Linked DNA regions of Macaca mulatta. The protein of the gene in region 3 purifies or fractionates together with the protein of the main gene of each other region. This does not show direct contact. Links are inferred from orthologs where the notes say so. Each region holds a gene or a part of one and is shown on either strand. Other genes may lie near its edges.

Region 1 (4,596 bases), on a different chromosome or scaffold from region 3:
TTCCCCATATCCACAGGAATACGTTCCAAGGCCCTCAGTGGGTGCCTGAAACTTCATATAACACTAAATCCTATACAAGCTGCTTTTTTCCCACACATACCTAGGAAAAAGTTTAACTTACAGATTAGGCACAATAAGAGATTAGCAGCAGCCAATAATAAAAGAGAACTGTAATCATATCCTGTAATAAAAGTTACATGAATGTGGTGTCTTTAAATATCTTATTGTACTGTGCTCACCTATTTTCAGATCACAGGTGACCAGAGGTAACTAAAACCTCAGAAGGTGAAACCACAAATAAGGGAGGACGGCTGTACTGCGCTCCCTGTGGTAGGCGCCATCCTGTCAAACGCAGGCCCTCGCACAGACAATATATCTAACAAGCGGGTGACTTGTTGTCTAAGGAAATGCCTTCCAATCTCATCGTCCTGCCTAACACAATTTTCCTCAAAAATGAAAGGACAGACATCGCAGCTAACTTAACAGTGCTCAGCCTTTGTCCCGAGGAGTCCCCTTAACAAATAATACACACACTTAGTTTTACAAAATGCATGTTAGTCTCATTACGTGACAAAGCAAGAGAAAAAATGCTACTCGTAAAAGTACTGATCTGAGGCTGTGTTTCTAAGCCTTTTTTTTTTTTTTTTTTTTTGACAAAGGTCTCACTCTGTCACCCAGGCTGGAGTACGGTGGCACGATCTCAGCTCACTGCAGCCTTGACCTCCTGAGCTCAAGTGATCTTGTCTCAGCCTCCCAAGTAGCTGGGACTATAGGTGTGTACACCAACACGCCCGGCTAATTTTCATGGTTTTTGTAGAGACAGGGTCTCACCACATTGCCCAGGCTGGTCTCAAACTTCTGGGCTCAAAAGATCCACCTGCCTTGGTCTCCCAAAGTGCTGGGACTACAGGTGTGAGCCACTGCACCCAGCTCTATGCTGGCCGGGCGCGGTGGCTCAAGCCTGTAATCCCAGCACTTTGGGAGGCCGAGACAGGTGGATCACGAGGTCAGGAGATCGAGACCATCCTGGCTAACACGGTGAAACCCCGTCTCTACTAAAAATACAAAACATTAGCCGGGCGAGGTGGCGGGCGCCTGTAGTTCCAGCTACTCGGGAGGCTGAGGCAGGAGAATGGCGTGAACCCGGGAGGCGGAGCTTGCAGTGAGCTGAGATCCGGCCATTGCACTCCAGCCTGGGCGGCAGAGCCAGACTCTGTCTCAAAAAAAAAAAAAAAAAAAAAAAGAGTAGGGGAAGGGTTAGATGGACTTCTATCCTTACACAGAGTGTGGGAGAATGACCATCCTCCTGATCCTCCACCCAGTCTAAGGAGATGAGAATTCAAAGGGAAGATCACAAAAATTCCTCAAAATATACACTAAAAATTATGAGGGTGCAGTGGCTCACGCCAGTAAACCCAGCACTTTGGGAGGCCCGAGGTAGGTGGATCACTTGAGCTCAGGAGTTCGAGACCAGCCTGGGCAACACAATGAGACCCTCATCTCTACAAAAAACACGAAAATGGTGGTGGTGCACGCTTGTAGTCCCAGCGACTCTGGAGGCTGAGGTGGTAGGATCACTTGAGCTGGGAGGCTGGGTGGGCCGTGATGGCACTACTGCGCTCCAGCCTGGGCGCCAGAGCAAGACCCTGTCTCAAAAAAAACAAAAACAAAAAACCATGAAGTCAACTATTTGCTGGATAACAAGGAAAAAAATGAACACACCAGACAGGAAATCGGCTTTGTTTCAAGAGAAGTTTCTGCACACCAAAGTCAAATTAATTTGTGGACCGGTGCACCCACCCCGCCACCCTGCACATCCTCCTAACAGGCCAAGCCTTCCTGGCTTGTTTCACGGTTTGGTGTGGATTTTTTCCACCCCGAGGGGACACGCATGGGGTTGAGAACGAGGTCTGTGATTGGAGCAGCAGGCAGCCAGGCCATCCCACACCCCGACTGCTGACTGCCTGCTCGTGTCCAGATTCCCTCCGGGAATGAGTCATTTCAATCGTCGTGGGCGAGATCTAATCAGGGGATAATAAGCCGCCAGAACCCAGCTCACAAAGCTGTTTCCTAGGAAGACACCGATTTCCAGATTTCTGCTCCCAGAGCTAAAATCCACGCCGTTTTGGAAAATGCTGGGTTAAACACTCCAGTACTAGAAAGACCGAGGTGACATCATACTGGGGAGGGGCGTCTTGGCCCGGAACCCCCTTGGCGGTGCCGCAGCCCCCCGCGCGGACCAGCAAACGGGAGTGAAGATGTGAATGAAGGACCGTACCCTAAACCCCCAGACCCTGCACCCCTAAACCCTGGACCCCCTACCCCGCACCCCAGACCCAGGGCCCCGCTCTGCATCCTGGCCCGCACCTCCAGACCCGATACCCCAAGACCCTGAGCGCAGTCCGCACCCCCAAACTCTGGACCCCCACTCCGCACCCTGGCGCGCACTCCCAGACCCGGTACCCCAAGACCCCGAGCGCCGCCCGCACCCTCAGGCCCCGGGCCCCGCCCGCATCGCAGCCTGCACCCCCGCCTCGAGCCCCCACCCCGGACCTCCGCTCCCAGACCCCGTAGCCGCCTGCGGCCCCGGCCACAGCCCCGGCCCCGCGCCCCGCGCCCCGCGCCGCCCCCGCCACTCACAGTTGCGGATATCGGAGATGAAGACGGCCAGGCCCCGCATCCCGTCCCCCTTGGACACGGCTGGCATCTTCCGGCGCTCGGGAGCGGCCTCCGCTGGCGGGCCTGGGCGGAGAAGCGCTGGGAGCGGGAAGCGGGGAGCACGGTCGCCTTCAGCGCCGCGGACAAGCCGCCGGGGAGCCGACTAACCACCGCCGCCTCAGGCTCCCAGCGCCGCTTTCTGGGCCGCCGCGCGCGCGCACGCACGACGCCCGCACTAGCACACACGCGCACGCACGCGAGCTGCGACGGACGGCGGCCGGGGCGGGTGTCGCGTGAGACAGCGCGCGCGCGTCCGCGGCGCGGGGACGAGCCGGTCGAGGCAGGCGCGGGGGCGCCCCATGCAGGCGGACGCCACGGACGGAGCCGCTGGAGCCGCGGGTTCGCGTCCCGATGCCGCGCCGGGTTGGCGCTGCCGCCCGCGTCCCCCACGGGAAGGGCGTGGATCCGGGCGGGAACTTGCGTGAGCAGGACAGCCGCCGTCTTCATTGTTGGTGGTCACTGCAAAAGAGGCGACCACGCAGGCGCACGCTGCAGCCTCGCCCTGGGCGTCGGCCCCCCTAGATTGCCCCGAGCAGGTCTCCGTTTTCCTACTTGGAATAAACAACCTGTGAGCGCTGGGCAGTGGAGGGGCTTCGCTGCCAGGGCCTTGTTTGTCCGGGGTGGGCCAGGGCCGGGAGGGCGGCGCCAGGAGGAAGCCGGGGCTCTGGGCGAAGGGGTCACAGCCTCGGGACAGCCTTTGGGGAGGAAACCCTCCCCCAGCCCAGTATCCTGAGACTGGGACTGAGCCGCCCCTTCTGCCGCCCTGAGCGGCCAGGGCCACATCTCTTGCGGTCCCCGAGCTGGGGGCCAGGCGGGCCCCGTGCCCAACCTAACCCAGGGTCTGTGTGGCAGTCCAGGCGCCCCCACCACATCACCTGGGCCTGCAGAGAAACAACCGCCCACCCCACCCCAGTGATGGCGGCCGGGGCTGCAGCTCACTGTGGAATCCAGTCCCTCAGCGCCAGGACTTTTTGCCACTGTTGCCAGGGCCCCCTCTGCTCCCCGGCCCTCTGCACCGCTGCGAGCTGGAGGCCTAGGGACCCCCCGTGGACGCAGCGGGAGGGAGGACCTTCTGGGCCAGGCTGCACAGCTCTGGGCCTAGGCCAGGAAGAGACCCCAGGGAGTGCGGAAGCACATGGCCCTGCCTCGCTGTCCTTCCCAGAGCCAGATGGCTTTGAAGAGGAAGTTCCCTCCTCCGGGAGTGGGGGGATCTGGACCCTGTACCTGGAACTGGCCCAGACCCACCAGCCAGGACTTTGCCCCACCCTGGCTCACTTGCACAACCCCAGATGAGAGCTTAGCCCTGGTGGAGCCCGGCTAGGAGGTAGGGGCACAAGTTCATCACTTTCCAAGACAGAGTCACGGAGCCGACCTGGCAGAGGCCTTCCTGGAGGAGGGTACGCCCCTCCAGGGTCCCCATCCCCTCCCAGTGCTACCTCCTGGCAGAGAAAGTGGTCCCGGGGCCATTCATCCTTCAGCTGTTCCCTTCCACTAACAAGCTTCCCTCCCCTATCCCTGACGACAAATAAAGGCCATTCTGGACACAAGAGCGTCTTGTGCCATGTGAGGGGTCCTGGGCTGCTCTCCGGGACAGTCCCAAGAGTCACGAGGACCGTCCACTAACACGCATGGGCAGAGTGTGTGCTCTGGGCGCCAGGAGGCTGGCGTGCCTAATCCGAGTTCCCATTGGCAGTGGCAGTGCCGAAGACCGAGACAAGCAGACCACTGTGCCCCCCCCACCAGCAGCCACTCACAGAGCAGGGCAATGTGGGGGCTGCAGGGACTGCCCACAGGAGGGCTTGGGCCTGGCAGGCGTCCCCCTCTGCCCACTCGGAAGACTCCTCCACAGTGCCAACTCTGGGACTCCCACAGACGTCC
Region 2 (3,918 bases), on a different chromosome or scaffold from region 3:
GCTGCGACCCTGACCACTGCCTCTCACCTGGATGGGAACAGCACCTCATCATAGTTCCACCCCACAGACTGTCCCCACACAGCACCCTACGGAAATAGGGGCAGAGCACGGGCCTCGTCTGCCCAGTGTTGGCAGTCCCTCATGGGATAGCCTCCTCTCCCCAGCTGGCCTCCCTCCCTGGAAGGCATCTGGGGAGGGCAGGTGGTCTTCCCTGCCCCATAGGGACCCTCACCGGGATCTTGAAGGCATCCACGGAGACCTGGTTCTCCATGGAGTCGAGCGAGGGCCGGCGGGCGCCGGAAGAGGAGTAGCTGACCGGGAAGGCCTGGGCGGGCCTCCGAAAGGTCATCTCAGCTGAGGGGATGGGTGGCTTGTGGGCAAACTTGTGGTAGCGGTGGATGCAGAAGGCAGACAGCAGCACCGAAACGATGAAGGAGAAGAGGACGGCGGCTGCAATCACCGTGCGGCACAGCTCGTCGCACAGTGGATCTGTGGGTGGGGGCGGTGTGAGGCTCCAGGCCCAGAGGCTCGGCACCACTGGGTACAGGCTGCGCATGCTCCACCGCATGGCTCTCCAGCCAACCGTGTCCGCACCAGCGGGGAAGTGGCCATGAAGGTGTGGGAAGGCCTGAGAACACCCCATTGGGCATGGGTACTGCCATTTACTGCCCCCTCCTAGACTACTATTGCCCTCTTACAGATGGTGACAGAGGCTCAGAGAGGCTGAGCAGCCTGCCAAGGTCACACAGCAGAGGCTATGCTCACTACACCAGCTGGCACTGGAGGGCTGGCAGGGGAGGTTAAAATTTTCCTCTGTTCCAAATGTCTTTGGCATTTTCTTTATGAAAATGTTAAGTGGCTCATGATGTAGGGCTATATAATACCGGAAAACTCAATACCAGAAATGTGTCCCTGTGCTCAGGCAGAACCGCATCCCTGAGTGTAGTCAGTGTGGCTGTGCCACCCACCATACCTGTTGACCTTGAAATGTGTTCCTGGGTGGGTCCCAGATGCATGGTCACAGGGATAGTGACCTGTCACCCTGACAAGTTGTTTGGTGGAAGAACTGCTTTTCTGGCCTGTTCATCATAGAACTCAGGGCCAGAGGACACTTTATAGGGGCTCTGGCCCCTCTCCTGGGTTGCACCAATGGAGTAACAGAGGCCCAGAGGGAGGGAGGGAAGTCTCATGGGGCCCACTCGCCTCCCAGCAATTTCCTCCCTTGTTGGGACCTCAGATGTGCTGTTGAGACCTCCATGGGCCCAGGAGGTGGTGGTGGTCGTGGCTGCCACCCACTCACCCTGGATGTCTTCGGGCTCGCAGAAGCACTTCTCCTCCTCAGGGAAGCAGTTGCAGGTACCATAGCCAGCTTTAATCCCCCGGGGCTCCCCGGGCTCATGCCCGCCGACAATGCTGCCCCCTGAGGGCAGACATAGCCCACTCAGCCCCCTGGGGTGTCTGACCACCCCAGGCCCCCATATTTCGAGGGCACTGTCCCAAGGAGCCCCCCTCCCCAACTGGTGTTGCAGGCATAGGCCCAGGGAGGCCAGGCGCCCAGCAGCTTGGCTCAGCCGGGCAGGGTTCGGTCACAGTGCCTTTCTGAAGCCATGGGTGAAGCCAGGCCCCCTCCTAACATTTCATCTGAACAAAGGACTCTGCCTTCAAAACTGGAGCCTGGTGGCCTGACCAGCACATTGCAGGGTCCCTTGTCTAGCTCAGGCCACACTTTCCCTGTCAGTGTCCCTATTGACCATTCTCTGCTTCTGAAATCTGTGTGTGCCAATTTCTGGGGCCTCAGCAGGGACGTGGACAGTCTGTGTGTCCCTGCCTCCCCCCATCCCTGACCCTCCCTGCTCCCTCCCCATGGCCAGGGTGACGCTGAAATGCACAAGAGGCTCAGCTTGATGCATAAAACTGACAGCCCTGGCAACTCTGGCTGAAGTGCATGTGGGATCCAGGTTTCCCCTACTATCTCCTACCTGTTCCCATGCCCTCATTAAACCCTGCTTACGGAGGCAGTCCTGGGGGCAAATGTTGATGTCTTGGGTCTCCACGACATCGCAGTGGCCATCGGGGCAAGTCTTGGTGCTGGGAGAGCAGGTGGAGAAGTTCCTGGTGATCCCTGCACAGGACACACAGCAGGCTGTCACCCACGTGGGAGCCCCGCCACATGCCCCCACCACCTCCTAGGCCGATCCTGCCCCTCTAGGGAGGAGCAAATGGAGCCCTGAGCAGGGAAACACCACACACAGAGCCTTGCCAGCGGAAGCATCCTGGGGAGCCACAGCTTATGGGAGAGGAGGTATGGGGGGTTCCTCACACAGGTGGCCCTTACAGCAAAGAGGCCAGGACCCTCTCAGGGCTGCACAGTGAGGGCCCCTCATGCTGGTGGGCACACCCAGGCTGGCCTCTGGCTGATGCAGACAATGAGTCCCCTGCCCACACCACATCCCCTGGACGAGGACTTCCCAGAAAAGGCCATTCTGTCCCCAGCACATCCCAACTTTGGTTCAGACCTTCCCAAGTCCAGAGTGACTCCAGCCTGGGGACCATTTGCTGTATTCACAAGCCCTCTCCCCAGCCCTGCACTGCTGCCCACTATGCTGGCATCGTGAGCCACGTGGGGGATGAGGTGCCAGAAGCAGACCTGGAGCAGGGAGAGCCACTCCAGGCTGGCAGGGCCCCAGGACCCCGTTTCTACCGGTGCCGTTGCCCCTGCAGGCATCCCTTGGGCGTTTCCAGGACCTACCTTTGCCATCTCCTTGCCTCCACTCACATCTGCCCGTTGGGGAGCCCAGGCCGCCACACTCCTCACACTCTGGCCGTCTCTTGCTGACTGCACAGGACAGGGGGCAGCCCGCCTCCTCGGCCACATCTGCAGGTGGCAGACAAGCAGGGTCACAGGGGGCTGGCCTGGGTCCAGCGCCCAGCCAGTGCCCAAGGACAGGGAACAGTACCAGCTGAGCTGCCTCACAGATGGAGCCCAAGGGGACTGGAGTGGCAGACCCAGGGCAGCAAAGCCAGTGCCAGGAGCACAGAGCACAGGGCAGGGTACAGGACATCATGGTCACAAAGCGGGGGTCACCTGGGCTGGGGTAAGTACAGGAGGAAGGATGTGAGGGCAGCCAGATTCGGCCAACGATGCTGAGGATGCCCTGTGGGACCTGCATTTCAGATACACAATGAATGGCATGAATGGCAGCTGCTCAGCATGTTCCTAAGAGGGCATGGATGGGCCTGGAGGTGTGTCTTTCGAGAAGCTGCAAAGGTTGCACAGAACACACCTATACCAAAACACTGCCTGTTGTTTACCTAAAATTCAAATTTAACCAAGGTCCTGTATGTTATCTGGAAGGGACAACCATTTATTGCTGGGTCACTCACGGTAAAGCTGGTCCATGCCTTCCCCACTCCCCAGCTAAGCCTTGCAGCTGTACTGTTTTTTTCAAAGGGCAGCAGGCCCAGGCTCCGGAAGCCCCCAGGTCCCCAACCCATTCCTTCCTGGAGCAGGCACTCACACAACCCCTCCACCGTGACAAGCAGCTGGGCCTGGGCCTGCCTGGAGGTCTGATGGTTGGTGGCCACCACCATGTAGTGAAGCTCAGCACACTTGGGCCGTCGCAGGGCCTTGGTGTCGTTCACAAACAGGATCCCCGAGGTGTCCTCGGCCGAGGTGACCACCCCTAGTGTGCTGCAGTTGGCGCCGGAGGAATGCAGCTCATACTGGACATTGATGCCACTGAACGCCTGGCAGTTTTCCACACAGACTTTCCCGATCTAGGGGGGCACAGGGGAACACCTTAACCAGGCCGCTGGACCGGCCTGCAGTGGCCTGAGGGTAGAGGTTCCCACACAGCCTGAGTTCTGGAACAGCCCCCAACTGAACCTGGAGACAGCAGCCCCGCTGAGCGCCCTGTC
Region 3 (3,636 bases):
AACAGTGAGGCAGTGCAAATAAGAGAAAGCACAGTGGTCTGACTCCTGAGTCTGAGGAGCTGGAGAAGCCCTTGGATCTTCTTACGAAAGGAAACTTGCAGTGTCTAGCCTTTAACCATGTGACATTGGGCCTCACAACCTCTTCGGGGTGGTTTCCTTATTTGTAAAAATGGGCACAGATGGCCGGGCGCGGTGGCTCACGCCTGTAATCCCAGCACTTTGGGAGGCTGAGGCGGGCGGATCACAAGGTCAGGAGATCGAGACCACGGTGAAACCCTGTCTCTACTAAAAATGCAAAAAATTAGCCGGGCGAGGCGGCGGGCGCCTGTAGTCCCAGCTACTCGGGAGGCTGAGGCAGGAGAATGGCGTCAACCCGGGAGGCGGAGCTTGCAGTGAGCCGAGATCGCGCCACTGCACTCCAGCCCGGGCGACAGAGCGAGACTCCGTCTCAAAAAAAAAAAAAAAAAAAAAAAAAAAAAAAAAAAATTAGCCGGGCGTGGTTGTGGGCGCCTGTAGTCCCAGCTACTCGGGAGGCTGAGGCAGGAGAATGGCGTGAACCCGGGAGGCGGAGCTTGCAGTGAGCTGAGATCCGGCCACTGCACTCCAGCCTGGGCGACAGAGCGAGACTCCGTCTCAAAAAAAAAAAAAAAAAATGGGCACAGATGAGATGACTGCCTTCTAGCTCTGATAAGGCTTGGGGATTTGAGGACGGGCCAGGACTGTATTTGTTTTGTTTTGTTTTTTTAGACAATCTCACTCTGTCACCCAGGCTGGAGTGCAGTGGTGCGATCTCAGCTCATTGCAACCTCTGCCTCCTGGGTTCAAGCAATTCTCCTGCCTCAACCTCCTGAGTAGTTGGGACTACAGGTGCCCACCACCACACCCAGCTTATTTTTATATTTTTAGCAGAGATGGGGTTTCACCATATTGGTCAGGCTGGTCTCAAACTCCTGACCTCAGGTGATTCACCTGCCTCAGCTTCCCAAAGTGCTGGGATTACAGGTGTGGGCCACCACGCCCAGCCCTATAGTGCCAGGACTATAAAGAACACAGTTCAGGCTAAGGGATGAGCCCCTGGAGGAAGATGCCAGACACCCTAAAGAGCAAGAGAGGCCCACAGAGAGCTGCCTAGCGGGAATGTCTAGAAAGCAATGAGGGAAGGAACAGGGATACACTGTAGGGTACTGTACCTTCCTTTCTGCCACCCCTCACCCACACCTCTGCCACACTCACCACACCCTCAGGGTCCACCAGTAGCAGATGCTTGGGCTGCCCACTCTGCAAGCCAGTGAGCACATACTGGCCAGGTGTGGTCGTGCTCTCCCGCACCAGGAAGTCCCCGTTGAGCTGCAGCAGTGCCTCAGCCTCCCGCCGACTCAGCTTCCCATGGAACCAGGGCTCCCCTCGGAGCTGCTCAGCCATGGACACTGACTGGGGAGGTGGAGGCACCCGAAGAGCATCTTCAAAGGGCTCTGGAAGTGTAGACAGAGGGTGAGGGAAAGTAGCAGGCACAACACACACCCAAGACCCAGACTTCAGGGAAGGGAAGTCAGGAAGGAAAGAGCAGATAGGCAGGAGAAGGGCCAGAACCAAGTAGAAAGGTGGAGATGCAGAGAGGAAAGACAAGCACTCACTCATATCAAACAGGTCACGGGGTGCACTGCCATTGACAGCAGGATTGGGGAGCCCAGCACCACCCACTGCTTGCCGGACCTTGTCTAGGTTCTGGACGTTGACATAGGAGGGATCGTCAAAGAGCTCTCTGCCTGCTGAGGAAAGAGAGGTTCTACAGTGATCCCCAGCCCTGCCTCCAGCACTCCCTGGCTCTGTCCATCTCAGCTCCCTTCATACCTGGACAGGGTGGTGGAGGTGGCATCTGTTTTCGGACTTCTGGATCTCCCCCAACAGGCTGTCCTACAGGCTGCAGGGATAAAAATAAGGTGAGACCAGAAGCCCTAAACAACCACTCCCACCCTAGGCCCAGCCCACCTCCATCCAAGCAACTTACCAGTGTAGCTCCCAAGTGGCTAGGGGTCTGGGCACTGGGTGCAGTGGATCGAGCAGCCCCTGGAGCAGCTCCTTCCCGAAGCCTCATGTCTACCACCCCCCCCAGGGGGGGTTCCTTCCCCGGGAAGTCATTATAGTACTGATGGTCAGGTGGCTCTTCCTCCTCCTCATCCCACGCTGAGCCATCAAAGCCAGCCATCCTGAGGGACAGGACAGTGAAGGTGTAGCTGTAAATGTGTGGTGGGCAGGAGGAGGGGAGGAGGGAATAGAACAGCAGCCATCTATTGGGTATTTACTGTGGATTAGGCCTGAGGCTGAGTGTTTTATATACATAATCATTTCATTCTCCTGGCAACCCCATAAGGTAGGTATTGTTTCCTTCCCCAATTTTACATATGAGGAAAATGAGGGTCAGAGGTGAAAAGATTTGCCCAAGGTCTCACAACTAAAAGGCGGCTAAGCTCAGATTTAAATTCAGGTTTGACTTTAAAGCTCGTCCCCCTTGGCCAGGTGCAATGGCTCACGCCTATAATCCCAACACTTTTAGAGGCCAAGGAGGGAGGGCTGTTTGAGCCTAGGAGTTCAAGACCAGCCAGGGCAACATAGCAAGACCTTATCTCTACCAAAATAAAAATACTACTACTCAGCCACGTGTGGTGGCATGCACCTGTGGTCCCATCTACTCAGGAGGCTAAGGTGGGAGGATCACTCAAGCCCAGGGTATGAAGGCTACATTGAGCTGTGATTGCACCACTGAACTCCAGCCTGGGCTACAGAGCAAGGCTCTGTCTCAAAATAAGTAAGTAATGCTTTTGCTCTTGATCTCTGTGGGAGGCGCTCCAGCTCCAGAAGCACTATGGGGGGGGGGGGTGGGGTGTGTGTGTGTGTGTGTGTGTGTGTGTGTGTCTGTCTGTCTGTCTGTGTGTGTCAGCGTCAGCAGGGAGGCGCTCCAGCTCCAGATTTTACCTCCAATCCCTACTGGCTCCACTGCTTATCCCTCAAGGCCTGAGGTGGGAAAGATTGTAATCTCAGGGAAAAGAGATATCCTCCCAAACCCAAAGTCTTGATGGCTTCTAGAGGCAGGAAAACACAGAATGCCAAGCAGAGAAATGAGCAAGAAAGAGGAATGGGAATAGAAAATCCCACCTAGCCAGAGAGAGATGTAACTTGGAGGCCCTGGACTACAGCTCCACCATGAGCAAACAAGAAAAGCTGGCCCTGCGGCAAGCAGGGCCTCAAAAGCCTTTCCTCCTGGGCCACAGGAAACAGAAGAATAGCAGGAAGTGGGAAGCAGAGGCACACAGGTTATTCCCTCCCTGAACCTCTCAGCTCAAGTGTGGGAAGAACAGCCCTCCTTTCCCAATCTTGGTCTCAAAAGCTGCTCCACACTCTCCCCACTTGCTCACCTGTCATGAGGGGTGACCAGTTTGGGTGGGTTCCTGAGGTATTGTTTGAAGCGCAACTCAAAGGCCTGGCCAATGGTGCTGATGACATCCTGGGCAAGCCCTTCGGGACACTCCAGAATGTGGCAGGCTGAGGGCACAGCAGAGGCTGTCAGTGAGTTGAGCCCACTGGGAGGAGGCACAGACAGGGGCCCTCATCTTCCTCGGCAGGAACCCCCACTTAGAT
Region 4 (4,430 bases), on a different chromosome or scaffold from region 3:
CCCGGAATGAGATTACTGGGTCACTGGCACATACATTTCAAATTCTGATAAGTTCCGCCAAAGCTCTCCAAAAAGTCTGTACCAATTTTCACTATGTAAGGTGCATGATCATCACAAGTCAAAATGTAAATAATTCACTTTTTAAATCCTAAATTTGGGAGCCATCATAACACATGACCATATTGGCTTGCCTAAAAACAAAGCTAAAATAGAATTAATGTTTCAAGGCAAAGTAAAATCCAAGCACCCAGATTTATTTAGATGAAGTGAGTATTTTCTTGTAAGAAAGTAAAACTTCAACCGTCAAATGCAAGTTCATCCAACAGAAGCCTTTGTTGATTGCAGTCACCCAATGTTAAGAAGTATTTCTGAATGAATTTCAAACTATAAGCCACTGGCACACTTGATACGTTTGCTTATAGGATAGGTGGGCTCAATTGATTTTTTAATATAAAGGACACAATCTGAAAAATGGCAGGCTGCAACAGTACAAACAGTAACCCTAATTAATTGGTTATAGACATTAGTGTAAGCCGACCCTTAGCTTTAACTTCACACAGAATTACTGGACATGAACAACATAAAATGTGCTGTCAGCACTCAAATGCCAAATATGTTCATAAAAATGTCAAAGACAACTTTTATTGGCCCAAATGTCACTCTAAACAGGGAGAAGAGAGGATGAAAGCTTCATCAACGAGGAAGGGATTATTACTCCTATGGAAGGTAAGACAGAAGCTGTGTATCTAAAATTAATAAGGAATGCTGCCTCCCCACTTGATTTTTCCCACATGGCTCCAAAGTGAGTATTTTCAAGTCCCACTTATGATGGAAAAGGTCAAGGATATTAGCATCAACCAGTATCTATGATTCTTAACTTTACCAGAAAAACAAACCACTTTGAGAATATGATAAAAGCTCTCTGTAGACAAAGCAGTAAAGAATCCATGCATGTCAGAAGAGCCCTTGACTTCGGTGAGAGCAGAATCATAGAACCATGCATCCTAAGAAACAACTGAAGTCCAGCCCCTCAGGAAACTGAAGCCCTGGAACAGTAAAATGGCTTGTCCAAGGTCAACAGTGAATTCGCAGAGGAAGCAGGCAAGAAATAAGCAACTCAAATAGATTCTGAATAAAGCCGAACTCACGAAGTAACTTTTTCTTATACAAAGTAAGTTTCACCAGAAACTTGAGAGATAACTAAAGTAACAAATGTATTAAGTGGAATTGGAAGGAACTGTCGCAAGTACTATTATTCAAAGTTCCTTGAAGGCCTAAGATGAACGCATGAGGAAAATAATGAGCAGAAATTTTAAAAGCACTCACCATGTTCCACAAAAACATTGCAGTGTGGACCCCCATGCCTCGATGATTCCTTCTTCCCTGCTCCTTTGATAAAATGCAGGGCAGGCAAGCTTGGCCTTCTTTGGTCCCCAAGAACTTTTCCAGGCTGCTGCCCCATAAAGTAATAATGGGTACCCCTTTCCAGAAGAGGGTTCACGATCTTCCAGAACGGTCAGAGAGCGTAGAGGCAAATGGCATATACGCAGGATTTCACATTCGCTGCATCTCCACAAGTCAGCAATTGAAGTCAATCAGAGAAAGACCTCTTCCATAACAAAAGGAAGCACTTTTTTTAGGTTGACACTTGCAAGCAGGAGTTCCAATTATTTTCGCAGTTTATCAATTTTAAGTAATGTAATTGCAGTGTTACCCAAAAGTTTCTTGACTTTTTTTTTTTTTTAACGGGCTGAATAACAATTTCTTTTCAAAAAGAAAAACCTAAGCAGAAATATTCACAGGGGATGCTGAAAAGGGTCAATAATGCTAGTCATTTCAATTCCCACATATAAAGGAAACGCTGATCGTCTTTGGCTACTCCTCCAGAACTTTTCCTGTGGAAGTCACCAACCTCCTATCTTAGCTTCTTCATCTTCCAACAAATTTCCTGCCGAACTAGTGGCCGCTCTCGCTTCTCTGCTCTGCTCTCCGGAAAAGGACACGGGTCACCCAGATTTCAGCGAGTTTGCCCTCGACTCTGACGAAAAGGAATGCATTGCCAGCAACTTTTAAGTCCGCTTTTTAAAAGGCCTGTGGAACCAATCCAGACTTTTCCTTTGCATTAAAGTTTTTGGCTGACCTGAGACTAAGGGGGCCGTAGGTGACATTGGAAGAAGTCAGGGCATTAGAGGCTCGCGGGAGCCACCTTGGGGAAGGGGAGACCCCTTGACAGCAGGGAGGGATTTGAATGAGAGGCTCTGTGGCCAAAGTTGGGGCCGGGATCCGGAACAAGGGGCGGCTCGGGGCTGAGGGAGGCTGCCGGGGCGCGGCACGGGCGGCTTACTCCAGGGCGACGCTCTTCCACGCCTCGGAAAACGGGGTGTCCCAAGCTGAGGGTAACAGACCCCCAGTGTCCCAAAGCCGGGGTGGAGCTGTAAGGGACGAAGGACTCTCGCGGCCCAGACAGCGAAAGGCGGACGCCGTGTAGAGGAGGCCCGGCCGCCTCAGCTGCCCCAAGCCCGGGGGTCTCTGCCTGAGACACCCTCTCCCCCGGCCCCGGACGCTGACACCACCACCGCCCTCAGGCAATCACATCCCCAGAGCTCCGCCGAGGAACCCAGCCGCCCCCCGCCGGTAGGGGCCGTGGACAGCGGAAGGGCTCCTCAGTCGCAGCACCCGGGAACCGGCTCCGGCTCCAGCGCTGCTCAGGCACAGACACCGACCCCCGCGGCCGCCATGATGGATTACGAGCCGCTCCACAACGAGGCCAGGCCCCGCCTTCCGCCCCGCCCACGACGACGTCCGGAGCCCGCCTCAAGGGGACCCGGATGCCCTCAGGGCCGCTTTCCCGGGACACCGCCGCGCGTCCCGGCTCTGGTCCCACTGCCTGCGAAAGCCGGGCCCGGCACGACCTTTTAAATGTGGCTTCTTTGAGCGCAAGGTGAGTGATAAGGAAGCACCCGCCTCCTCTGTATTGTCATTGGCCTCCGAGAATCCGGGTCGGGCCTCTTTCCCCCGTCCCATTGGCCAATGGGGGCAGTAGGGCTGGATCTCCCAGCCAACCGTGTTCGGCGCAGTACGCGGTGCGTCCCGGGAGTTGTGGTCCCACGGCACCCGCGCGAGTCCTCCCGCACCGAGACTCCTGGCCCGGACCCCGACCGCTGGGCCTCGCCCCGCCCTCCTGGGACCTGGTGGACTCTCGCCGGCCGAGCGTCGGCTGGACCGCGTCTCCCCGGCGCGAGTAGTAAGACCGGGACAAAGCGAGGGAAAAACTGCGGATTGGATTTTCCTGGAACCGGAATCGGATGATTTCCTTCAGTCTCTAAGGGAGAAAATGTGGCTTGCTCCTAGAAGCCAAGGTTTTTGGTGCCTCTCAACCCCTTCACCCTCCAAAAAGCATAAATATTAGAACTAGCGGACGGGGCGCGGTGGCCCACGCCTGTAATCCCAGCACTTTGGGAGGTCGAGGCGAGCGGATCACCTGAGGTCGGGAGTTCGAGACCAGCCTGACCAACATGGAGAAACCCCTTCTCTACTGAAAATACAAAATGAGCCGGGCGTGGTGGTGCATGCCTGTAATACCAGCCTCAGGACGTTGAGGCAGGAGAATCGCTTGAACCCAGGAGGCAGAGGTTGCGGTGAGCTGAGATCACACCATTGCACTCTAGCCTGGGCAACAAGAGCAAAACTCCGTCTCAAAAAACAACAACAACAACAACAAAAAAAAACAACTAGCGAAGAAACATACAGAAATAGGGAAAACATCCGACATGTTGCTAACGAATTCAACTATTTATTTGGGCATTAGGAGGCTTACTCATTACAGAAAAGCCATTTGTTGGGTTTGCCAGGCGCTATCAGATGTTTGCCCTGGAACGAATCTTTAAGACTATAAACATTTCACAGGTGAACACGTATTCACATGAAAACATCCTCTATATTAGCTGAGAAAATGCCCAGATGGTTGGGTTTAGCAAGTCTACAGAACCAATGACCTAGATGTGCCAAACCCACACCTGATAGAATCCATGTTCTGCGACTAAAAAGCACCTTGGTTCCTATTGGCTCTCCATGTCTCCCCAGAGGGATGCATCTGACAGGAATCCCATTTCTTTCTTTTTTTTTTTTTTTTTTTTTTTTCAGATGGAGTTTTGCTCTTGTCACCCAGGCTGGGGTGCAGTAGCAGGATTTCAGCTCACTGCAACTTTCACCTCCCGGGTTCAAGCGATTATCCTGCCTCAGCCTCCCAAGTAGATGGGATTACAGGCACGCACCATCACACGTGCCTAATTTTTGTATTTTTAGTAGAGACGGGGTTTTCCCATGTTGTCCAGGCTGGTCTCGAGCTCCTGACCTCAAGCAATCCACCCGCCTCGGCCTCTCAAAGTGGTGGGATTATAGGCGTGAGCCACTGCGCCCGTCCCAAGATC
Region 5 (3,918 bases), on a different chromosome or scaffold from region 3:
GGCTAAAGAGAAGTGTGGACCTGGGTCAGCCAGCTTCCCCACGATGAGGAAGGCCAACCTGGAGAGGCAGGCCTGGAGGCAGGAGGCTGGGCCGGGCCTGAGAGGATATGAGTCTGGAGGTCTCCGGGGTGGACCACAGTGGGTGAGAAATTCTGGAACTGTACCGAGGTCTTGTTGCCATAGAAGAGATACATGCGGCCTGCAGTAGGTGGGGGAGGCAGAGCTCCATCTGAGTCCCTCTGACCCCTTCCCCAGGCCCAACCCAAGGTCTCCCTCCCACCCATTCCCACAGTCCCCTGGGACACACCTAGATTCTGCCGGAACTCTGACTTGACTCCGATCTGCAGCAGCTGGTTCTCGAACAGAACCCCGTTGTTCTTACACACAAACCTGGGTGGGAGTGGCAGGGGGCGCAGGATGACGGGGATGCCTGCCTGCACCTGACCTAGGCTCTGCACCTGTCCCCATTCCCCTCCCCCACCTCTCCCAGGACTCACTTATTCAGCAATTCATCGGCTTCCGGAATGGGAGGGCCAATGTCTTCAGGACCTGGGCTGGAGGCAGTGAGTGAGTGGAGTGAGATGGGAAGGGACTTGGTGGGGAGGGGCGAAGACCCAGAGCAATTGAGTGTGAGAACAAACCCTAAGGACAGAACCCCAGAACCACATATCCAGACCCCTCACAGAGCTTCGAGGAACTTCACATCCGTTCAGCAGTGGCCTCTAACGGGAATGGAACCCTGGCCCGTGCCCCCGCATCGGCAGGCACCAAGTTTCCCTTTCCTCAAAGTCCCTGCCTCTGCTGCTCATCAGGAACCCGTTGACAAGAGCTCTCAGTCCCCTAACTCTCCCTGGGGACACCGGAGTCTGCCCCCCCGCGACCTCCCACCCCAGGCCACCCCTTACTCAGCAGCTGGAGCTGGGTCAGCCAGCAAAGCCATGGGGCTCTCGGGGGCAGGCGGCTCCAGCTCGCTGGGCCATCCAATCCCAGAGCAGACAAGAGAAGACAGGCGTGGCAGCCAATCCCAGACAGGCAGCAAGAGGGCCGGAGAGAGAGAGACAGAGAGGGAGAAGGGAAGGAGAGAAGGAGAAAAGGAAGAGCAGGCTGAGAAACGGTGACAGGAAAGGAGACAACGAAGGGTGGCCAGTGTCGGTGGAGTCCAGAGTGGGAGAGGGAGGCTGTGAGCAGGGAGGCTGGGGCAGGGGAGGCAGCAGCCAGGGCTGGTGAAGGCATCGGGATGGAGAGAGGAGCGAGTAGGGGGCTGGGGAGGGGCTCAGGGAAAATGCGGGCAGAGGCCGAGAAGGGACAGCCCTGGGGGTGGCTGTGAGAAGGGGCCCGGGCCCAGGGGGTGCTACCTGAGGAAGGCCTCCTCGGGGGTGGGCCCCAGGCTGGGCTGGGCGGCCGGGCCATCGAAGACGTCCACCAGGAGGTTCCCTGCCCCTGCAGAAGCCGGGGGTGCTGCCGGGGGAGGGGCTGCCCGCAGCCCCAGGAGGTCGGCGGAGGGCGAGGGCGTCGACTGTAGGAAGCGCAGGTCATGGTGAGGACAGATGGCACCCTGGCAGGACCCAGCCCCAGGCACCCTGGCAGGGCCCACCCCAGGGGACTCACCACAGTGCTGGGGGTGGGCTCTACGCCCCCATTGATGTCGTTGCTGCTTGGGTCCCTCCGGCCATCATCCAGGGCACTGCCAGCCCCTGGCCCCTTCTTGCGTTTCAGCTTGGCCAGGATGGACGACTCGCGCTCGGGGAAGGGCGGCATCTCCTCCAGCACCGTAGCCTGGCGCAGTCGGGTGGGGAAGGTCAGTTCGGGTCAGGAGGAGGGGAGAGCGGGAAGGGGGTATGCCAGGGTGGGGAGGGGCAAGGCTCTGACCAGGACGTCGGTGCTGGCCACCGAGCTGAGGGTGAGGTACTCCACGGCTCGCTGCTGCAGCTCCACGTCAGCATTGCGCAGCTGGGAGCCGGCCCGCAGCACGGCCTGGATGGTGGCCTTGGTCTCGGGGAAGAGGTTGATGAACTTGATGTAGGTGGACAGCAGCAGCGCCCGCGTCGCCACGCTGCACAGGTGGAACTTGGAGTGGAGCAGGGAGAACTGCACCGGGGGGCTGTGCGCGGGAGTGGGTGTCAGCGGGGACCAGGCTCCACTGCCCTCTCCCAGAAACCCCCTCGAGAGGCACCCCTCCCTGGGATGGACCTGTCCCAGGACCCCAGGCCGCTGGAGGGGAGTGGCCCTCCCCAGGCACCAGGCAGGGGCCACAGTCACACTCTGTCCATGATCCTGGGACTGAGGTCCTCTCTTACCCTGCTAGGTGGGTTGGGGTGGAGGCCGAGAGGATGGGAGCCCATCACCGCCTACCCTGAGACCCCTGGGGATCCCTCAAGCCCTGGATCCGTCAGAAGTGTGTAGTGTTCCCCCCGCAGGCTGAGGCTCCCTCACCTGGAGCGGGGGTCCCCAGCAATCAGGTTCCCAAACTCCCCAAGGATGTAGCCGCCAACCTTCACCATGTTCTCATGACAGGCAGGGGCCTGGAGCGCCTGGGGGGGGCGGGGAAGGGCGTGGAGAGGACAAGAATGAGCACTCTCTCTGGGAGCACTGGGTGCAACCACCTCCTGACTGGTGGAACCCTCAAAGCTCTGCTGCGGGTGGGGTTATAAGTGGTAAACTGAGGCACAAAAAGGTTGAGTGACCGGCCCAAGCTCACACAGGCCGTAAAACAGGGCTGTGAGCCAGGCGTGGTGGCTCATGCCTGTAGCCCTAGCATTTTGGGAGGCCGAGGAGGGCAGATTGCCCAAGCTCAGGAGTTTGAAACCAGCCTGGGCAACATGGTGAAACCCCATCTCTATTAAAAATACAAACAAATTAGCTGGGTGTGGTGGCATGCGCCTGTAGTACCAGCTACTGGGGAGGCTGAGGCAGGAGAATGGTTTGACGCTGGGAGGCGGAGGTCGCAGCGAGCCAAGATCACGCCAAGGCACTCACTCCCCAATCCAGCCTGGGTGACAGAGTGAGACTCCGTCTCCAAAAAACAAACACACCAAAAAAAAACCAAAAAACAAAAAAAACAGGGCTGTGCAGGTCCCCTTTCCTGGGGCAGAGGGAAATGGAAACTACCGAGATCTGGGGCCAGGACTGCACACCGGGCTCCCCATGCCCATGCCCTGGGGACTCCTCACATCAGGAGGGTAGGAGGGACCCAGAGCCCTGGGTGCCCTGGGTTGGCCCAGAGAGGCAGAAGCCCCACTTTGAGGTCACAGCAGTGCAGGAGGAGGATGGCCAGGGGCTGGCAGGCCCCACAGCCCCGGCCGTCCTTGCTCTGCCTCTAGGTCCTGTCGTGGGGTCATGGGGGTCAGGGTCAGGAATGCTGACCTCAAAGACCGTCTTGGCGGCGTAGCCCTGGACGTCATCACGGTTGGTGACGATCTGTAGCACACGGTACCACACCTCTTCACTCACGTAGTCGCCCGCGATGCGGATGAGGTTGAGGATGGTGTCCACATACCAGCTGTAGTCCACGGCGTACTTCTCAGCCAGGATGGCCACCTTCAGGACCTGCCGCCGGAGCGTGTGAGAGACAGAGTGCCCGCAGGCTGAGTCGGGCTTTCACTCACCTGGCTCTGGGCTCACCACTGCCCCCATCTGGAGACCCAGGAGTCCAGGTCCCAGCCCCTCCTCCCTCAGACCCAGGAATCCAGGCCACCAGCCACCTATCCCTCAGATCCAGGTATCCAGGCTCCAGCCCCTCTTCCCTCGGACCCAAGAGTCCAAGCCCCCAGTCACCCCCTCCCTCAGACCCACAAGTCCAGCCCGCACCCCGCAGCACTCACGATCTCCTCGCGGATGGCATAGTCGGCCGTTTCCAGGTACCGCAGCATCTCCGACACGATCTGCTTGGCATTGCTCCGGTCACACATGGCGTAGAGG
Region 6 (3,918 bases), on a different chromosome or scaffold from region 3:
GATATAGGGCAAGTATAATTATTCTCTTTTATAGCTGAGGAAACCAAGCCACAAGAGATCAAGAGACATGATCAGCTAATGATAGCGTTAGCATCAGAATCCAGCTGTCCTGGCCCACAGGCCAGCTACCATTTCACTCATCTTCTCTAATGGGCTGACTCCAAGCTCCCACCCCCACACATAGGCACTCACCTGGCCCTAGACCAAGACTTGGTGATAGGTGACTTGAAGGGGAGTTCATCGATGACAGTGTTGTTTCTCAGGTCAAGTGGTGTTGGCTTTGCTGGAGCAGGAAAAGAAAGTCTGGTAATCAGCCAGTAATAATGCTACACATACACAACTTATATATAACACATGAGCATGTTTATAAAGGCCTGCAAAGTCATTCCAGTTTCACACAGGGAAACTGATGCTCAGCGAGGTTATATAATCTTTGCCCATATTGATGGGCCTTGAAGTCATGTCTTCAGACTCCAAATTAAATATTCTTTCTGCTGTATCTACGGTAATTATATTTTCAGAATCAAAAATGAGGACACAGGGTTTGACAACAGATTCTTCTCCCTCGATTTATGACTTCATTTAAAAATAAGAGACTATATATAAAGATATATTTATATATAATACAGATATTAATATATATTTATATATACATATATATTTACATATATTTTCTTTGAGACAGGGTCTCGCTGTGTTGCTCAGGCTGCAGTGCAGTGGTGCAATCTCAGCTCACTGCAACCTCTGCCTCCTGGGTTCAACTGATCCTCCTGCCTCAGCCTCCCTAGTAGCTGGGACTACAGGAGCCTGCCACCACGCTTGGCTAATTTTTGCATTTTTAGTAGAGACGGAGTTTCACTGTTTTGGCCAGGCTGGTCTCAAACTCCTGACCTCAGGTGATCCACTCGCCTCAGCCTCCCAAAGTGTTGGGGTTACAGGCATGAGCCATGGCACCCAGCCAAGAGACCATATTTGAAGTGGAGATGGTCACTGTGACTACTCTCTGCTGCTCCTGGCCAGGTCTGTGCAAGCCACAGTGGAGGAAGGTAGATGCCACAAGGGCCTGAGGGCTTCAGTTTCACATGCTAAGATTTGAATTCCCTGTTGGTCAGACCCACAGGGGGCTATCTCTGCCCAGCTATCCTACTCCTCCCTTTGAATCCTTGCCACTAATCCAAGATCAGGAGAGTTTGAGATCACAGCAGACTGGTAACTTGCCTGGTCTACATGCAGGGAGCACAAACCTGACTTTACTGAATGCCTGCTGTGTACCAAAGTACTATCCTAGATGCTCTCCTTCACAGCAAACCTGGAAGGTAGGAATTACCATCTTCATTTCACAGATAAGAAAACTGAGACTCAGAATTTACATGATTTGCCCAAAGTCACACATCCCAAGGATCCACATGACCCCTAAGCAAATGGAAAGAGTCCCTAGCTATTGTCCAGAGATGGGACAGGGGAAAGAATGGACTTACCTTTCCGATCAGGTTTGAGGTTGCGGTTGACAGGGGGTGGCTGGATCTCACTTCCTCTGCTGGGGCCTCGGTGCATAGGAAGGGTTGTTGATGGGTAGCCAAGTGAGTCAAAGTGATGGGCCCCTGGGCTCATTGGGATGTAGACGCTCTGGGAATTATCACCTGCTCGTTCCATGGCCAACAGGGTGGAAGAACCTGGGTTCATGGGCACATAGTTGTCTTCAGAATTGGTGCTGTCTGATCGGCCCACAGTCATTTTCCCTGGCTAGGGAGAGGAACAGTGAAAGAAATACAGCTGTTACTAGCAAGAAGAAACAGGAAGTAGGTAAGACTTTGTAAACTAGGCAAGACAAGTCATGACTGGGTTAGCTACACTTTGAAGCTGTAAGGGAGACCCTGGGGAGACCAAATAAGAAAGCAGAGTAGTGGGAGGTTAAGGCAGTTGGATCACTTGAGGTGAGGAGTTCGAAACCAGCTTGGCCAACAAGGCGAAACTTCCTCTCTACTAAAAATACAAAGCATTAGCTGGGCGTGGTGACATATGCTTGTAATCCCAGCCACTCAGGAGGCTGAGACACGAGAATCGCTTGAAGCTGGGAGGCTGAGGTTGTAGTGAGCCAAGATCACACCACTGCACTCCAGCCTGGGTGACAGAGCGAGATTCTGTTTCAAAAAATAAAAAATAAAAGGAAGCAGAGTGGGAGACAAGAATATATGAGGTCTGTGGGCCCCTTCAAGCCTTCATGATCCTTTGGCATCCACCAATAATTTTTGATAAATCTAGAGTATAAAATATTCTTGGTGACTGGGTCCACTTGGCTTTCTGGATGCCTGACCAACACCGTGGGTAGCATAGTCCATAGACTGTAGGTTTGGTTCAGGACCTGCCCTCCACCTCAAGTCCAGACTCACCATTGGCAGGTCAGCATCTCGGGCCCTGGATCAGAACAAGGAGCATATTAGGAGTCCTGGCTCTGAAAGGTGAGGTCTGGGGCCAGTTGTGTTTCCCCAGTCCAGGTTCCTAAGTACCTGGGGCTCACTCCAGGCACCTAGGGGACCACCAAGCTGCAGTTGGAGCTTCTACAGAGTTGTGCAATACAGCACCCTAAGCTATAGCCTTCTTCTAACTCTTGTTCTACGTGCCCTGACATACAACTAAGCTGCTTCTGCCTTGGTTACCTGATTTCACTGTCTTTCCAGTGGGCCTGAAGCCAGGCCTTGGTTTTCTTGCCTGACACGTTGGAGAACTGTGTTAGCATCTTCCAGAGGGCAGCCTGGGATCCTGCTCTCAAGCCATAATTCTGCCACTTAGCATGACTGTGAGTACTACCCTTGCCTGGAGTCTCACACTGCAGCCTCCCTCCTATATGTGAGGCCATGTGGGTAAGGTTGTTGCCTTAGAAGATCCCCCACCGTGCAGCCTGGGTCTATTGCATTCTAGACCCTCTGCTTACCTATAAGGTTGGTGAACCTTGTAATCCAGTCTACCTTAGCACATACATTTCTTCCGGACTAGAATACTTGTATCTTACTTGTCCAAAGACTCAACGCAGGGTTCTGAACTGAGACAAGAACTTGGGCAGGGTCTTAAGATGGAGATGCCATCACTTTTTTGGGGTTGTGCTTTTAGTTCCATAAGGTGTGGCCTTTTACCTAACCAGGCCTGCCTGAGGACCCCTGGTTAACCCACACTCACCAGTAAAGAGCCGACTCCATCACTCATGGATTCAGCAGACCGGCCTGCACTCTCTCCACCACGCTGTGGGTACTCGTAGGTCTCACAGGAAGAAGCTGACAGAGGAAGGAGGATCCGTATGTACTCATGGTTGATTCATGTGTTGACACTTCCCCATACCCTCACCAGTGTGGTTCAAGGTCTTACTGATACTCCAGAAGATACCACTCTCAACCCCAAATGATAAGGAATTTCTTCGAACACATCACTCCTCAGTTCAAAAATCCTCCTGGGCTTCTAGATGTAGCTCCAATGTTAGCATCTGCAGAGAAGCCATCCTTGACTACTCTACCCTCATCTATGCACCTCTCCTTTGACTCCTATAGCACTCACCTGTCCCACTCACCCCAGCCATCACTTCTCTGAATACCACAGTAACAATACTTGTCCTGATTTATATGTGTTGGTTTTATTTTCCCAATGAGATGTAAGCTCTGAAGGGCAGGAACATGTTTTATGTATGTCTTTATCATCTCAGTTCCAAAGCACAGTACGACTGCTCAAGTTGTTGATGGATTGAAAGGCGGCAAAGAAGTCTAAACCAGGAGCTGGGACTCTAGGGTCTGAGTCTCATCTCTGGCACAATGACTCTGCAACTCTGTTTAAGTCTCTTAACTGTCATTGGCCTCATGTGAGATGGAGACAAGGAGGTTTTGTCCCACCAACCTCTCTGCCTGGCTTAAACAACAGGATGGACAAGAAAAG
Region 7 (4,393 bases), on a different chromosome or scaffold from region 3:
TGAGCTCAAATGGTCCGCCCACCTTGGCCTCCCAAAGTGCTGGGATTACAGGCACAAGCCACTGCGCCGGACCCGGGTGTGTGTGTGTGTATGTGTGTATATATATATATATATATATATATATTTTTTTTTTTTTAATTGAGACGGAGTTTTGCTCTTGTCGCCCAGGCTGGAGTGCAGTGGCACGATCTCGGCTCACTGCAACCTCTGCCTCGCGGGTTCAAGCGATTCTCCTGCCTCAGCCTCCCGAGTAGCTGGGATTACAGGCACCCACCACCATGCCTTGCTAATTTTTGTATTTTTAGTAGAGACAGGTTTTCACAATGTTGGCCAGGCTGGTCTCGAACTCCTGACCTCAGGTGATCCACTTGCCTCAGCCTCCTAAAGTGCTACAGGCATGAGCCACCTCGCCTGGCCGGCCTGTATATTTTTAAAGGAAATAACCTAAGAGTTTTTTCCAGATTTTCAAAGAGGTCCTGTAAAGATTAAGAACCACTGAACCTTTCTCGTTTGCCTGATCCTGGTTACTGTTCTCAGGAATAGGAGGACACAATGTCAGCTTTAACCCAGGCTAGTTCCTCTAAACTGCCTTATCGGTGAAATGAAAATAATAGGGTTGCTATGGGGATTAAATGAGATGATACTCAAAAAGTGATAATTAATGATAAATCATAAGGTGTCTGCCACAAAGTGCCCCTATTATAAACAAACAGTGGCCTGGAGGGACAGTTTATAAATACTGCTCCTTTAGCATTCCACTAATATTCACTGAGTGCCTGTTCTGTGTAGAGGCCCTGGTGAAAAAGATCGGCCTTCCAGTATATTATCTAGTCGAAAGAACCTCAAAAGATACAAAACACGATAGACTGAACGCCCTGAGAAGGGCGTAAGTGCAGTGCTCTAGGAGCTGTAGAAGAGGTCTCGATATCCACTGGAGGAAAGTGTTTATTGGAGTTCATATCTGGAGTGGGTTTAAAAGATGAACAGAGGGAATCTAAAACATACACACAAAATCAATACTACACGTACACATTTTATTCTTGGTTTTGTGGAAAGACCAGTTAGAAACACTGCAATCACTTCTACTACTCAGCAGATACTGAGCAGTAGGTTTCGTGACAGAGCACCTGTATCTTTTGTCCAGTCTGTTTACTATACATTGCGTGCTCTGGGCAGTCCTTATCTTCGTGTTCAGGAACAAAGTACACACACCCCTTTCCGAAACGAAGGGCCCAGGGATTCCGAGAGGGGTGGGAGCCCTCACGGCCAGACCACACAATGGGGAGCCTCTTTACCCTAGTTATCACCCACCCCTGCAGGCTCCACTTTGCCAGGGTTCGACTTCTCGGGTCCTTTCGCCCCTCCCCTGCAGCCCCCAGGAGCGCAGCAACAGCCTGGCCAGGCGCCCTCCCTCTCTCTCTCTCGAGCTTCCCTCCTCCTTCACCGGGAGCCGGAAAACCCGGAGCGAACCAGCCCAGCCCGGCGGCGCATGCTCAGTAGCGAACAGGTTCAGTTCGCTAGTAGGAAGCTCTAGCGCTACACCGGCGGCGGCGGCGGCGGCGGCTGCGGCGGCACCTCAGGGCAGCCAGATTCCCCAACAACGACCTCGGGTCCTTCCCCTTCCCCGTGAGACCCCCGCCCCAGCTCAGCCCCGCCCGGGGCTCCTGCGTTTCGGGGTACCAACTGAGCAGAGCGGGCGCCGCGGCCGGAGCGTACCTCCACACGTCCTCCCCCAGCCGCCAGCTCCGCCGCGGGGCCAGGCCGGGCCCGAGAGTGCAGCCCCGGCGGGCGGGCGGGCGGCGGCCGCGGCAGAGGGCAGCCCCGGGCGGCGCCGGCGGGCCGGGGAGGAGGCGCGGGGGGCCTGGCCCCGGGGCGGTGGTGCGGGATGCCGCCGCCTCCGGGCCGCGTTCGTTCTCCACAGTTGGTACCCGTGTCGGGTGTGTGGCCGGGCGCGGGCCTCGCCCCCCAGCCCCCTCACCAGGGCTAGCCCGGCTGCGCGGCGCCCGGAGGGGGCCGGGCCGTCCGGTGGGGCCGCGGCCCTGTTCCGTGCTGCGATCTCGCCCTCTCGCAGCTCCCCGGCCCGGCCGCCGCCGCCCCTCTCCCCGCCCAGAGGCGCCCCGGGGGCACCATGCAGGCGCAGCAGCTGCCATACGAGTTTTTCAGCGAAGAGAACGCGCCCAAGTGGCGGGGACTGCTGGTGCCTGCGCTGAAAAAGGTGAGGAGCACGCGGGACCCCGCTTCCCGGCCGCAGCACCCCAGCGCGGGCGCCGGGCTGGCGCTGGGGAAGGGCTGGGGAGGCGGGGCGCGCGCAGGGCTGTCTTTCTTCCCGGTCTCGCCGCGTCTCCAGAAGGACGGCGCACACTGAGAGGCTCGCCATACGGCTGGCTCTCAGTGTTGACATCCACCGGGTGTGTGGGAAGGCCGCAGGGAGCTGGCGGGAGTTTATCCGAATAATCCAACCCCTGAGAGGTGAATGCTTTGCCCTTTGATTCCAAGACAACAGTTGCAGGAGCCTCAGTTTTCTGCGGAGGTCAAAGCAGGCCACTTTTCCGCCTTCTCGGTCTTAGCGCGGAGCTGCTGTCAGCCTGCCGTTTTAGGTGTCCAGTACGCTCGTTTTAGTGGCTTTTCGAGAATGCCCTGGCCGTAGTGCTTGCTCAAAGGAATTGCGAGCTCGCCTGCCAGCAGTAACGTGGCCTGCTCTGTTCGCCATCAGCAATCACTCCTCATTCTCCTGGTTTCCCCCGCTCCTCCGATTAACAGGGGCCGGTGCACATGCTACCAATTTCGGGGTTTTTTTGTTTTGTTTTTGCAGCGTTAGAAACTTGGTGCTGTCATTTGGTTAAGAATTTTTAGCCTTTGTATGTTTAAGTTTGCTACGTTGTTACATACCCCCGATCTGTGCTTTTAAATGTTTTAGTATAATTAGGAAGTGTTGTTACATTTTTAAAGCTTCTAAAGCAGCAGTGTGACTACCAGACTATTTTTGTTTCCTTTTCTTCATTTACCTTTTCTGTAAAGATTGCTTTGCTCTTCTAATAGTGTTTCTAAATTCCAGTTTCTTGCTGCTTAAAGAATGTTTCATGCTAACTGCTTCTACTAAGAATGGAGATTAATGTTGTACCTTTTATGCTAAACATTAAAAGCTGTCTGATATTTCTCAAAGGCCAGTAACTTTTACTTTCCCTTTTGCCCTGTTCTCCTCCTGTCCCTCTTGCTGTCTTACAGTGGAAACTATTTGGTTTGTCAGGAGTATTTGCTCATATATTTCTGACTTAAGTTACGGACATTTTCCCCTTCAAGTGTCTGACTAGTCACAAACATCTATTTTTTTTTTTGTTTGTTTGTTTGTTTTTTTTTTTTTTTAAAGAAAACCAAAAAGATGCCATGTATCTTACATACTTTACTCCTTAGAAATCCCATCAGGCTCTCACTCCTTACTTTTGCTTTACTTGCAAGTTTGGCTTCTCAGCTTGCAATGGAATGGGTGTAGGACGTCTCTGTGATGCTAGAAGCTGGTGTCCGGATAGGGTAAGAGGAGACAGGGAAATTGTTTAAAAATCTGTAAAGGAACTCATAAAGTATTGCCAAATAGGGGCCATTTTGCTTAGAGGCAAAAACAGCTGCTTTCTTAGGGAATCACCAAGCTATCAGCTGAGAATTCTTTGAAGTAGTGGAAAGAATATTGTAGGAGTTGACAGACCTTGTTTTAATTCTGCCACACTGGTGGCCCTTGCTGGAATCTGTCCACAGAAGCATTTTGTTTGGCTGGCACAGTGTGGTTTTATTTTCAAATGTAATTAGTTGCTAATATTTGAAAATGGGAGATATTACATAAAATCTGAATTTTCTGCTTTTCTTGACGAATAGGAAGGTCTTGTCATTTAGGGTCTGTATTCAAGCGAGGCACTAAACTGCTGGAGGTGAGTAAATGGCTGCCTTCTTTAGACAGGTCGTGTATCTCCACCTTACCACAGCCCCCACTTGTCCTTTTTGCATATTTACATAAACCAGCTTTTGACTTTAAGCTAGAAATATTTTTGCAGTAGAAGTGATAAGAGGAGGTGGAAGTGTACATAATCTAGCTGATATGTAAGGTTCTTCCAATTCTTATTTAAATATCCACTAACAATGATTCTAAACAAGGTTGAAAATACAGTATATTTCATATCTGGATACGTTGTTGGTAGCTCAAAACCTACGTTTTTACCTGCCTGCTGGATATTTCATGTGGATATCTCCATATCTTGATTTCTTCCTTTGATTTATTATTGAATTATTTGTAGATGCATCCAACTCGTGTTCTCTTACTCTTACCTGAGGCTCTTTGGATATTCTAGTCCCTTCATCCTTCTTTGCCTGGTCCAACACTACTCATCCTTCTAGACTCACTCAA

Evidence for each region.
Region 1: the proteins of SHC1 (region 3) and AP2A2 purify together in Homo sapiens (affinity purification with mass spectrometry; 4 studies listed by BioGRID and IntAct, with this or other methods). This does not show direct contact. The link is inferred for Macaca mulatta from reciprocal best matches to the Homo sapiens genes SHC1 and AP2A2.
Region 2: the proteins of SHC1 (region 3) and RET purify together in Homo sapiens (affinity purification with western blotting; 4 studies listed by BioGRID and IntAct, with this or other methods). This does not show direct contact. The link is inferred for Macaca mulatta from reciprocal best matches to the Homo sapiens genes SHC1 and RET.
Region 4: the proteins of SHC1 (region 3) and ABL1 purify together in Homo sapiens (affinity purification with western blotting; 5 studies listed by BioGRID, with this or other methods). This does not show direct contact. The link is inferred for Macaca mulatta from reciprocal best matches to the Homo sapiens genes SHC1 and ABL1.
Region 5: the proteins of SHC1 (region 3) and AP2A1 purify together in Homo sapiens (affinity purification with mass spectrometry; 4 studies listed by BioGRID and IntAct, counting the BioPlex papers as one, with this or other methods). This does not show direct contact. The link is inferred for Macaca mulatta from reciprocal best matches to the Homo sapiens genes SHC1 and AP2A1.
Region 6: the proteins of SHC1 (region 3) and GAB2 purify together in Homo sapiens (affinity purification with western blotting; 6 studies listed by BioGRID and IntAct, with this or other methods). This does not show direct contact. The link is inferred for Macaca mulatta from reciprocal best matches to the Homo sapiens genes SHC1 and GAB2.
Region 7: the proteins of SHC1 (region 3) and SOS1 purify together in Homo sapiens (affinity purification with western blotting; 14 studies listed by BioGRID and IntAct, with this or other methods). This does not show direct contact. The link is inferred for Macaca mulatta from reciprocal best matches to the Homo sapiens genes SHC1 and SOS1.

What each region holds. Positions count from the first base shown.
Region 1 is NC_133419.1:820,683-825,278, reverse strand, and holds the start of AP2A2 (AP-2 complex subunit alpha-2), read right to left. Parts: upstream 2,896-4,596; 5' UTR 2,708-2,895; coding exon 2,641-2,707; intron 1-2,640. UniProt on the Homo sapiens protein: Component of the adaptor protein complex 2 (AP-2). Adaptor protein complexes function in protein transport via transport vesicles in different membrane traffic pathways.
Region 2 is NC_133414.1:55,573,736-55,577,653, reverse strand, and holds part of RET (proto-oncogene tyrosine-protein kinase receptor Ret), read right to left. Parts: intron 3,778-3,918; coding exon 3,519-3,777; intron 2,876-3,518; coding exon 2,750-2,875; intron 2,123-2,749; coding exon 2,012-2,122; intron 1,421-2,011; coding exon 1,301-1,420; intron 490-1,300; coding exon 233-489; intron 1-232. UniProt on the Homo sapiens protein: Receptor tyrosine-protein kinase involved in numerous cellular mechanisms including cell proliferation, neuronal navigation, cell migration, and cell differentiation in response to glia cell line-derived growth family factors (GDNF, NRTN, ARTN, PSPN and GDF15).
Region 3 is NC_133406.1:112,035,834-112,039,469, reverse strand, and holds part of SHC1 (SHC-transforming protein 1), read right to left. Parts: intron 3,541-3,636; coding exon 3,414-3,540; intron 2,208-3,413; coding exon 2,009-2,207; intron 1,922-2,008; coding exon 1,852-1,921; intron 1,770-1,851; coding exon 1,635-1,769; intron 1,473-1,634; coding exon 1,234-1,472; coding exon of another isoform or gene 1,129-1,233; exon of another isoform or gene 1,096-1,128; intron 218-1,095; exon of another isoform or gene 1-217. UniProt on the Homo sapiens protein: Signaling adapter that couples activated growth factor receptors to signaling pathways. Participates in a signaling cascade initiated by activated KIT and KITLG/SCF.
Region 4 is NC_133420.1:16,869,900-16,874,329, forward strand, and holds the start of ABL1 (tyrosine-protein kinase ABL1), read right to left. Parts: upstream 2,951-4,430; 5' UTR 2,169-2,950; coding exon of another isoform or gene 2,070-2,168; 5' UTR 1,463-2,069; coding exon 1,327-1,462; exon of another isoform or gene 1-1,326. Other genes in the region: uncharacterized protein LOC144335005, read right to left, coding at 2,070-2,168. UniProt on the Homo sapiens protein: Non-receptor tyrosine-protein kinase that plays a role in many key processes linked to cell growth and survival such as cytoskeleton remodeling in response to extracellular stimuli, cell motility and adhesion, receptor endocytosis, autophagy, DNA damage response and apoptosis.
Region 5 is NC_133424.1:62,267,778-62,271,695, reverse strand, and holds part of AP2A1 (AP-2 complex subunit alpha-1), read right to left. Parts: coding exon 3,822-3,918; intron 3,547-3,821; coding exon 3,364-3,546; intron 2,532-3,363; coding exon 2,434-2,531; intron 2,102-2,433; coding exon 1,870-2,101; intron 1,777-1,869; coding exon 1,609-1,776; intron 1,517-1,608; coding exon 1,356-1,516; intron 972-1,355; coding exon of another isoform or gene 906-971; intron 555-905; coding exon 498-554; intron 391-497; coding exon 308-390; intron 200-307; coding exon 110-199; coding exon of another isoform or gene 21-109; intron 1-20.
Region 6 is NC_133419.1:78,650,627-78,654,544, forward strand, and holds part of GAB2 (GRB2-associated-binding protein 2), read right to left. Parts: intron 3,270-3,918; coding exon 3,175-3,269; intron 1,744-3,174; coding exon 1,479-1,743; intron 284-1,478; coding exon 193-283; intron 1-192. UniProt on the Homo sapiens protein: Adapter protein which acts downstream of several membrane receptors including cytokine, antigen, hormone, cell matrix and growth factor receptors to regulate multiple signaling pathways.
Region 7 is NC_133418.1:85,814,602-85,818,994, forward strand, and holds the start of SOS1 (son of sevenless homolog 1), read left to right. Parts: upstream 1-1,511; 5' UTR 1,512-2,128; coding exon 2,129-2,215; intron 2,216-2,350; exon of another isoform or gene 2,351-2,469; intron 2,470-4,393.